3 linked regions of the Nothobranchius furzeri genome follow. The protein of the gene in region 2 binds, or shares a complex with, the protein of the main gene of each other region. Links are inferred from orthologs where the notes say so. Each region holds a gene or a part of one and is shown on either strand. Other genes may lie near its edges.

What was found. The genes of interacting proteins can lie anywhere in the genome.
Region 1: the proteins of mrasa (region 2) and ppp1cc are in contact, whole or in part, in a cryo-EM structure (PDB 7SD0), measured with the Homo sapiens proteins. The link is inferred for Nothobranchius furzeri from reciprocal best matches to the Homo sapiens genes MRAS and PPP1CC. Residues at the interface, in NP_001078518.1 of Homo sapiens: Ala5, Ile31, Gln35, Lys36, Ile37, Val39, Asp41, Glu47, Asp48, Ser49, Leu51, Lys52, His53; in NP_002701.1 of Homo sapiens: Pro178, Asp179, Gln181, Gln185, Arg188, Ile189, Met190, Thr193, Asp194, Pro196, Gln198, Leu201, Trp216.
Region 3: the proteins of mrasa (region 2) and ppp1caa are in contact, whole or in part, in a crystal structure (PDB 7TXH), measured with the Homo sapiens proteins. The link is inferred for Nothobranchius furzeri from reciprocal best matches to the Homo sapiens genes MRAS and PPP1CA. Residues at the interface, in NP_001078518.1 of Homo sapiens: Val6, Pro7, Ile31, Gln35, Lys36, Ile37, Val39, Asp48, Ser49, Tyr50, Leu51, Lys52, His53; in NP_002699.1 of Homo sapiens: Pro178, Asp179, Gln181, Gln185, Arg188, Ile189, Met190, Pro192, Thr193, Pro196, Asp197, Gln198, Trp216, Gly217, Glu218, Phe225.

The regions. Positions count from the first base shown.
Region 1 is NC_091757.1:28,392,189-28,396,684, reverse strand, and holds the start of ppp1cc (serine/threonine-protein phosphatase PP1-gamma catalytic subunit A), read left to right. Parts: upstream 1-1,637; 5' UTR 1,638-1,946; coding exon 1,947-2,001; intron 2,002-2,525; coding exon 2,526-2,657; intron 2,658-2,836; coding exon 2,837-3,067; intron 3,068-3,749; coding exon 3,750-3,854; intron 3,855-4,071; coding exon 4,072-4,295; intron 4,296-4,496. UniProt on the Homo sapiens protein: Protein phosphatase that associates with over 200 regulatory proteins to form highly specific holoenzymes which dephosphorylate hundreds of biological targets.
Region 2 is NC_091754.1:14,865,420-14,869,773, forward strand, and holds the start of mrasa (ras-related protein M-Ras), read left to right. Parts: upstream 1-1,463; 5' UTR 1,464-1,600; intron 1,601-4,354. UniProt on the Homo sapiens protein: Signal transducer in the Ras-MAPK signaling pathway that regulates cell proliferation and survival. Core component of the SHOC2-MRAS-PP1c (SMP) holophosphatase complex that regulates the MAPK pathway activation.
Region 3 is NC_091745.1:8,628,353-8,632,522, forward strand, and holds the start of ppp1caa (protein phosphatase 1, catalytic subunit, alpha isozyme a), read right to left. Parts: upstream 2,860-4,170; 5' UTR 2,723-2,859; intron 2,435-2,722; 5' UTR 2,387-2,434; coding exon 2,332-2,386; intron 1-2,331. UniProt on the Homo sapiens protein: Protein phosphatase that associates with over 200 regulatory proteins to form highly specific holoenzymes which dephosphorylate hundreds of biological targets.

The DNA of each region.
Region 1 (4,496 bases), on a different chromosome or scaffold from region 2:
AGTTATAAAGTAGCCAAGGTATTTCACCTTCTCACACACATTAAGATCACTATTAGACAGTTTGAACACAGGAAAGTTTAGCTTTTTATCTTGCTTGGTTCTACATATCAAGATAGCACTTTTAACAGCATTATACTGGATATCGTACTGCACACCATATTCAGAACAGATATTCAGGAGCTGCTGTAAACCAGCACTACTTGGACTGAAGACCACCAGGTCATCAGCATACAAATTAAATAAGATAGACAGAATTCCACCCTGCCTAACACCATTACTAACACCAAATGGTGCAGAGATGCTGCCACCCCATTTAACCTGCATCATCTGATGAGCATACCAGTAAGACAGGATTCTCACAATAACCCCAGGGACCCCCCGTAGCTTTAACTTAATAAAAGGTTTTCTGTGGTTTACACGATCAAAAGCCTTAGAAGCATCAATAAAACACATAAGGACAGAAGAAGTTCTATTTCTATACCGGTTCACCATTTCTTTAAGTGCGTATATACACATGTCAGTACCAAGTTTTGGCTTAAAGCCAAACTGATTATCCAAGGAATTAAGGTACACAGTGATTCTATCAAATATGATTATTTCTAGATAAAACACTGGCTAGTGCAATCGGCCTATAATTATCTATACTGGTCACCTTCCCAGATTTGTTCTTAATAACTGGGACAAGCAGAATTGCCATCATTGAGTCTGGTAGTATGCCATGAATCATAAACCCTGTAAAACAAAGAGCTAAAAGGGAAGCTAGCCTTAGGCTAGTATATTTCAAATGTTCTGCACTAATGTGATCCAGACCACAAGCCTTGTTATCAGCTAGTTTGTGAATAGCTTCATGCACCTCATGGGTCGTTAAACATCTATATGTTCATCATTAATAACAGAGCCATCCTCATACCGATCACTTTTTAAACAATTTTACATTGCATAATAATGTTGTCTCCATAATGCTGCAATATTATCTTTCCCATTGATCTGCTATTTTTTAAAAGTGCATTTTAATTAATTACTCCATAATTATCTTGTAATAAGCTGATGTTCCCTTCAGATAAGAAAATATAAGTCAATCATGCAGCTTTTCTATTTCATAACGAATCAAATTCTACAGTATAATATGTAAAAAGAAACTTTCTTAATTTACATAGGTGTGTGTGTGTGTGTGTGTGTGTGTGTGTGTGTGTGTGTGTGTGTGTGTGTGTGTGTGTGTGTGTGTGTGTGTGTGTGTGTGTGTGTGTGTGTGTGTGTGTGTGTGTGTGTGTGTGTGTGTGTGTGTGTGTGTGTGTGTGCAAATTATGTATAAATTATATATTTTTTCTTTTTCTTTTTCACCCTATGACAAGGCCCAGACAGACATAAATACATTTCTGAACAGATTGCTCTTATAAGACGTCTTGATATTCCTGGTAAATGTGAATATCTGCCATGACACTTTCTGCTGCTTCTCCGTAGACATGAATGTCTGTGTGCTACCCATCGACATGTGCATATACTCCAGGTGCCACCTGCAGCTTTGTCGTGTTTATAATAATATGCTCAGGCGTTCTCACATCCAGACCAGTAGGAGGCAGCAGCGGTTTAGTTAGCAGCAGCTAGCTCTTAGCAGCTAGTTAGCAAGGTGCGGCAGCGGAAAAGGAAAACAGACTGGTCTCCTCTCCGCGCTAGCGCAGCTTACGTACATTTTTATGTCGCGGTTTTTATGAAGACGTACACTAGATTTTACTGAGAACAAATATTGCGATTTTTTTAAGTAGCTTATTATATTTTATGAATTATTAGCCAGCACGTAAACAGATACTGGGTTGATCTGAAATATTTCACGCTAAACCGGAAAATCAATATCGCTAAGACGATAGCTAATGCTAGGATAGCTAGCGGGTTAGCTCTCCGAACTGAAAGACCTACCTTTGGCTGAGTTCATTTAGTAAACGACTGCAATGGCTGATGTTGACAAACTCAACATAGACAGTATTATTCAACGTCTTTTAGAAGGCAAGTATGTTCATAAATGTTGTACATTTACACAAATTTTGACGCTTTACAAACAGGCAGCGCATTATATCATGAAACCCGTTTGCTAATGTTTTCCGTTATTATTGGTTTTACTCCCGAATTGACATCTAATGTGTTTTAATTGTAAATTTTCAATATAATCAAATGACAATGAAAGATTTGTAAAAACAGTTACTAAACTATATTAACGTAGTTGCGCATACCGGCGCTAGTCCGCCTTTGCGTGACCTATGATTTTAGCCGCTGCTGCTGGCTTTTATTCCTTCTCATCTACAGTAGATGATCTACTATTATACATATGAACATGTTTACTATATTTTAAACCAACAAAATAAACTTCGTAACGCTTGTCCCGATAGAATATAATAGTATGATGATGCATCTCGTACAAATACGTATGTTACTTCCTACATTTCCAAACAAATACTGCATCAGGCACTGCTGACAAAGCAGCAATAGTTATGTTGTTTTTTTGCTGACTGATGTTTGTGTTTTCTCTGCAGTCAGAGGAGCAAAGCCTGGGAAGAATGTGCAGTTGCAGGAGAATGAGATTCGTGGATTGTGCCTGAAGTCCAGGGAGATTTTTCTCAGTCAACCCATTCTTCTGGAGCTGGAGGCCCCTCTCAAAATATGTGGTTAGTAAAAACCATCATTTTTTTATTTACTGTTGCTTATTAATAAACGTTTTTCTCTTCGAGCTAGATTCTACCAATTACATAAATGTCAACATTTGATTCCAAAGTTAAAAGCTTGCTTGTCCAGTTTTTGCAGGTGCATTATTTATTTATTTATTGCTGTTTGTTTTGTTTTGCAGGTGACATTCATGGGCAATACTATGACCTGCTGAGGCTGTTTGAGTATGGAGGCTTTCCTCCAGAGAGCAACTACCTGTTTCTGGGCGACTATGTGGACAGGGGGAAGCAGTCTTTGGAAACCATCTGTCTTCTGCTGGCCTACAAAATCAAATACCCAGAGAACTTCTTCCTGCTGAGGGGAAACCATGAGTGTGCTTCAATCAACAGAATATACGGTTTCTATGATGAGTGTGAGCAGCTTGCCATTTAATTGTGTCACTGTTTGGTCTCTTGTGTGAACTTGCAGCAGCTTTCATGTTGTTAAACGTTTACCCCGGGTTTCCACGGGAGCCGTCAGCAGCACGTTACTGCAGCAGCACGTCTTGCTCGCGTAAGCTGCTGCTTGGCCCTTCCCACGAGACGCGAAGCAGCAGGGGAGCAGCTGTCACCGACAGAGCACGAAGTCACACGAGTGACTTCGTCAGTAAACACAACAACAAGCAGGAGAAAACTACAACATGGTTTGGGTTTTATGTTCTGTCCGTTTTATAATGGCCAATACGGACCTGAAAACAAAGGAGACCGCTAGCTAGGTGATAACTTCTCATGGGGACGCACAGTTAGTAACCTTTTTTAAAAGTAAAGCAACCGGAAGGCAGTACGTTCTTTATTCTGAAAATCTCTGTAGCTTCTCTCCTTTTCCGCGTCAGATTTCCTGTCTTTCCTTCCCCAAAAATGTCGAACTTGACCCGTTTCAGAGGCGTCGCGCGTAGAAAATAGAACTGGCGCGTAAAGGCTGCGACATGCTGCTCCTGAGACGCGGCCGACTCGCGCTGCTGACGGCTCCTGTGGAAAGCCGGGGTTAGTGAAAACTTGAATTTTTGTTGCTGTTGTGCCTTCAAAATAAAAGCATAACTATTTGTCTTGTTTTAGGTAAACGAAGGTACAACATCAAACTCTGGAAGACCTTCACGGATTGTTTTAATTGCCTCCCTATTGCTGCCATTGTGGATGAAAAGATATTTTGCTGTCATGGAGGTGTGTTTTGTCTTTAACAGAATATTGATGTTTAATCAGAACGTTTATGTTGCCTAGTGGAAAGCAGCTCGTCAGAAGAGGCTTGGCTTTGACGTCAGCCGTTCTTATTTGTCATTGTGAAATGATGTTGACTGGTGTTTGCAGCGACCCATGTGAAGTAGGTCTGACCTCTGTATCAGTTTGTTTGTTTGTACAACTGCTGTGTTGTTGCTTTCAGGACTGTCACCTGACCTTCAGTCGATGGAGCAGATCAGACGCATCATGCGGCCCACGGACGTGCCTGACCAGGGCCTCCTGTGTGATCTGCTTTGGTCCGATCCAGACAAAGATGTTTTGGGCTGGGGCGAGAATGACAGGGGGGTCTCGTTCACCTTCGGCTCAGAGGTGGTTGCCAAGTTTCTGCACAAGCATGACCTCGATCTGATCTGCCGTGCTCATCAGGTAACTGTGCTCACACGGTGGTGCATGGACATCGCGTCCTGTGCTGGCAAACTGTAGACTAAAGAGGAGGCCAGGTGCTCTTCTTACATTATGATCCCGGTGGGAAAGGAGGATTGTTCCTCTCAAATGGAGGGAATAGAAGCTAGCTCTCATTCACTCCTCCATGAAGGTCCTGATAATGTAAACAGAGAAGCATAAAAC
Region 2 (4,354 bases):
GTTATAGATTTCTTTTTTTCACCATTTTCTCATCCTGAAATTCTATTTTACTTTTCCTAATTAATAAATTTGCTCCATTAGGAGTCAAATTAATTCCTCTGTATGACTTTTCCCTTATTTTGAATGAGTAACTAAGTGTATTTTTCCCCAAAACAATTTTTGTTAGATGGAATGACTTTCTGAGATAAGATAAAGGTGGAGAAAAAAATAACTTAAGGAAAAAAAACTGCAATATTTCTGATGGCACGCACTGTACCAAAATGGTCGATACGGTCTGCCTGGATTTCTTTTTATTTAACCTTTATTTATCCAGGAAAACCGTTTGAGAACCACTTCTCATTTACAAACATGATCGCACTGGTTAATTTCTATCAACTAATACCTCTTTCACTTTTCTATATTTTACTTTTTTGCATGAATTTTGATTCAGCAAATATTCAGATCCTATTTTATGGATAATACTGCATAAAGAGAGACATAATTTTCAATAAGTCGTTTCCCATTACTAAAACAGGAGCAGGGAAACGATTAATGTGTAATTATTAGACCTAGTTAAATAGGTAAAATGCATATCTAACCCCCTTTTCCAAAATTTGAACAAATTATTTTTAAACATTTTTTAGCTATATGCCCTTCTGTTAAAATAAACTAACCAAAATTTTTTTTAAATCTACTATTAATGTGCAGATGTATTTTTTTTACAATTCCACATTTAAACGTTTTCCCTTAATTTTGTTTCTTATGAAAATAGCCGGAACACTTTCTAATATATTTGTGTCCATGAATAATGTATCAGTACATCCACACTATACATGAGCTATCCACATTCCTGAATGTTTGCTTCAGTCATATGTGGCTTTAAGTTGCCACCGAGAGTTCATGCTGACAAAAAGCATCATTATTGTGGTTTCTGGAAAGTGCTGCCTGTATGTGGCTAATTATGTTTCCAGTAATGTACATGTTTTTCCACCAGTAGGTTTCCTCATATTGAATAAATGATGATAATGATAGAAGAACTAGCAAGTGCCAAATAGCTAAACAATGTTTTGAGCTTAAAAATATAATGTAAAAATCAATTAGACACTTCTGTATTGGAAATCAAATAAAAATAGAAGTAAAATAAACATATGACCCAGAATATCAACCAAATTATCTGTCAATACCCTCTTTTATTGGAAATGCTAATTAGCTACTATCCCTTTAACGGCGTTCGCTACTCGTAGGAATAGCCCATTTTTCTAAAAAGGGGGAAATCGGTGATTTCTTTTTCCCGTTTATTAAAGAAATATATAAAACTTAAGCATTGGAAACATACTCCATTTTGTTAAATTCAGAATTAAATGCATTCGAAGATGAAACTTTAACCAAAAGCCACTTTATTCTGTTTAATATTGTCACTAGAAACGGGTTTCCCCCCTCCGAGGCATTTCTATATATAGTATCAACTATTGCAATACAAAGATTAGCTACTCGCTGCATTGTTTGGCAGATGTGGGCAGCTCGCTCCCGTCTCTCTGTGCCGTTTAAAGGGCGGCGGCGATGAGGAGGAGCAGCATGTCGGTGTGAAGACGTTTCTTTCACCGTAGAGGAGTTCATTCCGGTAAGTAAGTAGCTGGCCCGCTCGGTCAAACGAATTAGCTCGTTCACGAATGTCTTAAAATCCCGGTCCGCTCTGTCTCTCTCCCTCTATCTCAGGAACAGTAACTTACTCAAGCGCCTTCCACTAATGACAGCTAGCTAACCGGTCAGAGAGGACGAGTTGTTTTAATTTAACGGGTTGTTTGTTTTCTAATCTTGGAAGAAAACCATGAAGCAGTTCAGGTCCGTTATTTGGGGGCGGCTACTGTCTTGTTTTCCATCGGCTGCTCACACAAGCGGGCCTTGGCTTTTCTGCGTGTCAAAATCGCCCATGGGGTCGAAAAAACCCAGTTCTGTCAGAAACGATCAGGGAAAACCCTTCATTTAGCCCTGCCATTCACACCAGCGGCGTCTGAGAAGCTGGATGTGAGGAGGACGACACTGAGGGATTCTTCATCAGATCATGGCATGAGATCACTCAGAAGCACCAGATTAAGACCTATTAATAGAAATGTGAAATCATCAGATCATTTCTCTGTCTGCAGGCGAAACGCTGGCATCATTATTCCACAAAAAGGCCAGCTGCTACACAGGATCGTCACGCAAATGTTGATGTCATTAGAAAAAAAAGTGCATTGCTTTTATCTTAAATTTAGGTGTTGTTTAATCACAAATAATCTGATTTTCAGAATGTTAATCTTAACTTAATCCAATTTATTCCATTGCTTAGAACGAGGAGGTGCAACTAAATTACACGCAGGATTACACAACGTTTCCAAAACTCTTAAGCTTGTGATCCACAAAATGCCAGACTTGTCTCCTAATACATCAAGGTAAAATATGAAAACATTATTGATATGTAATTTACAAAGTCTTTTGTCAATTGTGGTACAATATTTTATTTTTTGGCCCTTATTTATTTATTTATTTGCTGTTTTCAGCTTTTTATAATTTTTAAATGGAAATCTGGAGTTTCCCCCTTTCAGGAGTTATGTTGGCCTGGCAGGCTGTCCAATATGTGTAAATATATAGTCTGGCCACCACCATAGACAGAGCTACGTTACTGCATGCAGTTGGGCAACTTTGGGACCAATAGGAGCAATGAATATGACATCGTCATTGCCAAAGCCTGCTTCACGCTGGAGGCATCAGAATGTCGCTGCTTCAAACAGAATCCATTATAGTCTATGGGGGTGATGCGCAGAAATTTATGCGTCCCAGAAGCAACGCACCGCATCCCGCTCAAAGATGGGATTGATTTCTGTTTTTGCTGCGAGTTGCTTCTGGGACACATCAATTTCCGCAGTTTAACATGGGGCTAGACAGGAATTCACACACTGTTTTAGTGTAAGACGTCTGGTAATTTTCAAAATAAGACTATTGTAGCGATGCAATTTCATATCATGCAGATTACGTGAATACTGGCGACGTAACTGCTTTTTTAGTCCTAGCATCTTTGGAGAAGTGCAACGGTGTTTTTCATGGCTTTAATCCTGGCAGTGGAGAGGAACAACATTATATATATATATATGACATTAAACAGCCGCTCCGTGGCTGAGACTCTCCCGCTGTGGACTGGCGCGCAGCAAATCATGCTAGTAAACCATTCCAATGCCATTTCATGCCACTGATGCCTCCAGTGTGAAGGACCTGTAAGGAAATCTGTCAATGAGGCAGTTCAGCCTACATTGTTGAAGAAAATACACATAATTCTTTGGTAGGGATGAGCGAGTACACCACTATCTGTATCTGTATCTGTTCTACCATCTATTGGGCCATTCCCATCTGTACCGGGTCGGCCCGGGCCGGGTAGCCCCAGTCGGCCCCAGCCTGGCCCGGTTGATTCCACACATCCTTGCCTTAAGCCCATGTGGGCTGATTCTACCCACCAATCAGAGGCTTGCTCTAATGGAAGGTGTGAATTTGCTTTCAGCAGTGGGTGTGTTGGCCCTGGTCGGCCCTCGAGAAGAGGGCTGAGAGTGAGCCTCGGTTGCCCCGGAAAAATACCAGGCCACCCAGATATGTAAACAACCTACACTACCTGGCCCGGGCCAACCCGGTACAGATGGGAATGGCCCATAAATTATCTGTATCTGTACTCGGAGTGGGTGTGGCCTAACCAGGAAGTGGGTGTACGTTAACCGGAAGTGGGTGTGGTTTACATCAATACGTTATATTTTGTCTGATCAGAAGTTGCTATGTGTATTGTTTATTTGAAAACTATTTACAGAGCAGCATCAGAGTTGAGATTAAATGTTTTTGATCACAATAGTAAAGGAACTAATACAGAACAAGTTTTTCAATAAAATCAGAACATTGATATTTAAGTGCATGAATTGAGAGAGAGAAGAATAGATCTTTTCTAAAGCGCCTCTCAAGATAAAAATCACGGGGCGCTTCACAAAAACAAAACATGCAAAATAGACAAAAGAATTTAGAAAATTATTCAAATATATTTAAAATGATCAAAAAATAGACAGTTGTGATTAAAAAATGTAAAGAAAGAGACAGAGTGGAATAGGAAAGAGGGAGCAGATCCTGAGTATGAGGAGAGAGAAAAAAAAAACCCGACCGGAGAGGAGGCAGTGACTGACGCAGCACGAGCCGTTTTCAGCTGTCTTGTCAAATGCACCACGTACGTTACGAAAAAAGTAACTTTAAATAACTTTAAAGTAACTTTAAAAAGAAGCAAACTGAAGAAAACATGGGGCAGGGGGTGCCCAATCCTGGTCCTGGAGGGCCGGTATCCACCACGTTTTAGTGGTTTCTCTGCTCC
Region 3 (4,170 bases), on a different chromosome or scaffold from region 2:
ACTGGGAAACCGCAGAAAAATAAATGGGCTCATCACATGAACAAACCAATTAGCTCAATCAGTTCTTAGCTATTTAACACTTCAAACACAATAAGCCTCACATCAAAGCGCTGAGCCTGGCAGAACATGGTGCAGCAAACTGAACCCGCAACAGGTCAGTCGGCCATGACACCTCTGCTTGCATCCGACTCCCAACTTGTCTAGTATCTATCTATCTAGCTTTCTGTGGTCATCCCATTTTCTCTTTAATTTTTGTTCACGAATGTAACGAGTGTGGGCTTTAGTTGTGCATCACAAGTACAAGCCTGCATGAAAAACTCCAAGTGACCAATTATACTCAGAAATAAGACTAAAAATGGTTGTTACAGTGTTTTACACCTTAATATTTCTAGATACTAACAATTTATATTTGAGCTTCATGAATAAAGACTATTTAAAGGTTGAATATGGAACAATTTAATAAAAATCTATATATTTTTCAAAATTAATACCCCCACAAGGCATTATGCTGAATGAAGGTACAGTACTTCCTTTGAAAGATATATTTTAATAAAAAAATCTAATAATAATATAGATTAAATATATATTCTGACAGGCACGACACTGGGTTTATGTTTACATCTACCAGCCAATAGAGGGCACCGCTGTGGGTTGCCAAACAGCTTGCTGCGCACAGCGAGGCTGGCATTGTGGAAAACGGACGACTCGGCAAGTCAAGCAGCTGCTTCTGAGCCCAGATGTCATTATCCTTCTCAGTGAGTGTAGGTGAAGCCTACAACAGACGGACCCAAATGAAAAATGTCACGTATCGGCAGTGAACCTAGCTTGCAGATGACTGGAAACCTTGTTCTATTGTTGCAACTTTAATCTCCACACACTAGCTGTTGCTGTGGTGTTCGTGTTCCATATTCCACCTTTAACTACTATTCTTGTGCAAGATGCAAAGATGGATGCAAACTTATTTTTTTTACTGGAGGTAAGCATGTAATGTAGATCTGACCCATCATTCATGTAATTCATTAAGTTTAAATTAATGCCCTCAAAGTGTTTGGTTATAGCAAACGGTTTTGATCACCAGAAATAAATTAATGCCTTTCACCAACTAAGTGTTTTACCCTTTAGTGAGTTTGTGTGTAATCTGTCAAATTCCATTGCTTGGTTCTTTTCTACAGCTTTTCTGTTTTTGTCCTGACAAGACCCAGTGGTTGGAGTTCTTTGGAGGTTGTGTGTGTGTTATCATTATGCCAACGTTGGATCAAATTATTACTTTTTGTGCACTTCAACCAGTGGGTCAGAAGTCCTTGAGACTGCTAAATTTGGGACCTGGAGCCCAAAGTGTTTGAATGTCTGGATTACAACAATTTCTTTTGCTTATGAAATCAAGTTCATGGTGAGAAGTTTTGTCTGCATTTGTTGCACTCAAGGCTCCTTGAGAATCAGGAGGGTTTTATTGTCATTTATGCGAGAATCCCATTAGGAAATTGGTGCAGTACTTGGAGCAAGAAAAAATTAATGATATGCTAAATTTTAAACGAATAAACACAATGAAATGACAATGTAGGGAGACAAAAATTAGTGAATCAGCTACGTTATACAAGTCAGTGTAGGTATTGGTCAGAGTGGGTCAGTTCAGGTGTAGGCACACCATAGGGTCATATGGTCCCGCTGCACAATCATATTGTGAAAGTTGAAATACTTGTAAAAGTCCTTATGTCCATTTAGAAATTGTATGAAGAGCACTTTTTCAGCCAATAAAGACAGAAGGAACCCACACCTTACACATGTGATAAAGACTTAAAATAGCACAATCTTAGTTTGTAAAAGGTAACTAAATGACTACAACCGATCTGTCTGTACAAACATTACCTTGAATCAGAGTAATGATCTTTTTACTTACAGAACCATTTCAAATCCTCCAACTACCAACAATGCTGCTCAAACCCAAAATATATAGTTTACATAAAATGATAAACAAGAAATGAAATGTCTACAGAAAAGGCTACAAAATAAAAAAAAAACATTTGGTTTACATCTGAAGACATTATGAAGTTCATACACCACTGTGTACAGTCATGCATTTGATTTAAATTAAGAACAAATAAAGAGAAACCGTGAGGATGGAGCCGGTTATCAGAGAAACTTGAGTAAAATAAAAACATTTTGTGTAAAAAATATCCAACTGCGGCGGCGGAGAAAAGAAACACAAAACAGCCACTTTATCGTGTCTTTAACCTTTTTTACTGGCCAACCTAGTTAACAGTTTACCACCATCTAGCATTTACAAGCTCACAAAAATATAATCTGCTACGTAACGGACAGAATATTTCTCACCTTCCAGGAGACGCTGAATTATAGAGTCGATGTTTAATTTGTCCGGCTCCGCCATTTTCTGTATTTTCTGACGTTATCGGGAAGTCGAGACCTTGGTTTTCACCTTATAATGAAAGAATAAAGACAACAAGATATGCGTGCCTGTTGTTAGTCATAAAATATGTCACCGCTCACATTTTGTTATTAACGAATCTACCGCGCTGATGAATCTAGCAACAGAGAATAATCAATGAGCTTAGCGGAGATCGAGCTAACGACGCCGCTAGCCAAATAGCATTAGCTACACTTTTTTTTTAAACAAACTTTATTGAATCCAGCCGAAGTAAGCTACAGATACACATTACTAGACCACGGATCGTTAGCTCTAGCAATGCATTAAATGTTTCCAGACCTTAGAGTGATGTCTACCCTGCTGTTACTTCAACCCTGGAACTTAAATATCTCTGAGTCGAATTGTGGCCGTTTTCCTCCTTTGTCGAGGTCGCGCAACTCTTCCCACCACCACCCCCCCACCAGGAACTTTAAAAGAAGGCCGTTTAAATCGAGCGTCTACTGTAACACGAGGGGCTGAATCAAACTTAAGACGTCACACATTTCTCGAATGATGATTGGTCTATGGAACATTTCAGAAGTCATTGTCGAATCCTATTGGTTGACTGCTGAATCTGTCCGAAAACGAGCCTCCGCCCCTTGTCTTTCACAACGGCTCAGATTTCTAACTCAATTTGCGCCACCACGTGTTCATATAGAAGAAATAACCAACTCAAATAGAAATCTAGTCAAAGATGTGGAAACACTGGTATTACAGTCTTTTTTAGGAGTTACTATATTGTATACTTTTCACACTACTGTTATTACTGTCTCTTGTTTTTGTTTTCATAATTGTTTTGTCTCTTGTGCTTTAGCCTGTCATGTTGTGCTAATTTCATTTTATCAAATCTGTACAATGTTTACTTATTTATTTTATTTCTCCACCTCTGTGAATTGGACTAAGAGTCTTTAAAGCCTGGTTCAAAAAAAAATTTTTTTAGGTTGATTAATAATAATTAAAGTAAAGAATTTGAGTCTCACAAAAACATTACGGCAAGTCTGATCACGTAAAAACAACAGTCACTTCCTGCTTCCTGTTCTCAAGTCCCGTGTGACGTGACTATCGTAGGGCTCTCCATGAAGCGCTCAGCGTTCCTGTGTGACTACTTCTCAAAATCTTGGGTGCAACGCGGCACGTCCGCCTCCGGTGTGCCCCAGCTAGATCTCCACAAGCAACCAGCATAACTAAAGCCTCACACCCAAGCGAGTTGGCTACCCCAGTCTCTGGAACCCTTCTTGAGTTACCTAAGTAAGTTAGTAGCTACACTGACTCATTTGTTCCAACCTGTTCCAACACTGTTCCAAACGTGACAGCCCCACCCTCAGCTCCACCTCTATTCCCATTTTTGGATTGTTTGGGCGTGACAAGATGTGTGACTCGGTCAAACAGGCAGTGGTGGGAACCTCCCATTTGGAAACAAAACCTTATAATTAATGCATATGAAAATTGAGTGCAGCTCATGAAAAATGGGAGCAAAAACAAGTGTTGCATTTATATTTTTGTTCAGTGCATATATTGGACATTTAAACATCTGAAATTTTGTCTACAAACACAAAAGATCCATGACTCTCAAATAGTGTTCTGAAATCTGTCTACGTGTAGTGAGCACTTTTCCTTTACCAAGATAATCCATCCTACCTCACAGGTTGTAGCATATCACAGGGCTGATTAGACAGCATGAATAATGTACAGGTGTGCCTTAGACTGCCCACAATAAAAGGCCACCCTGAAATATGCTATTTGATCAA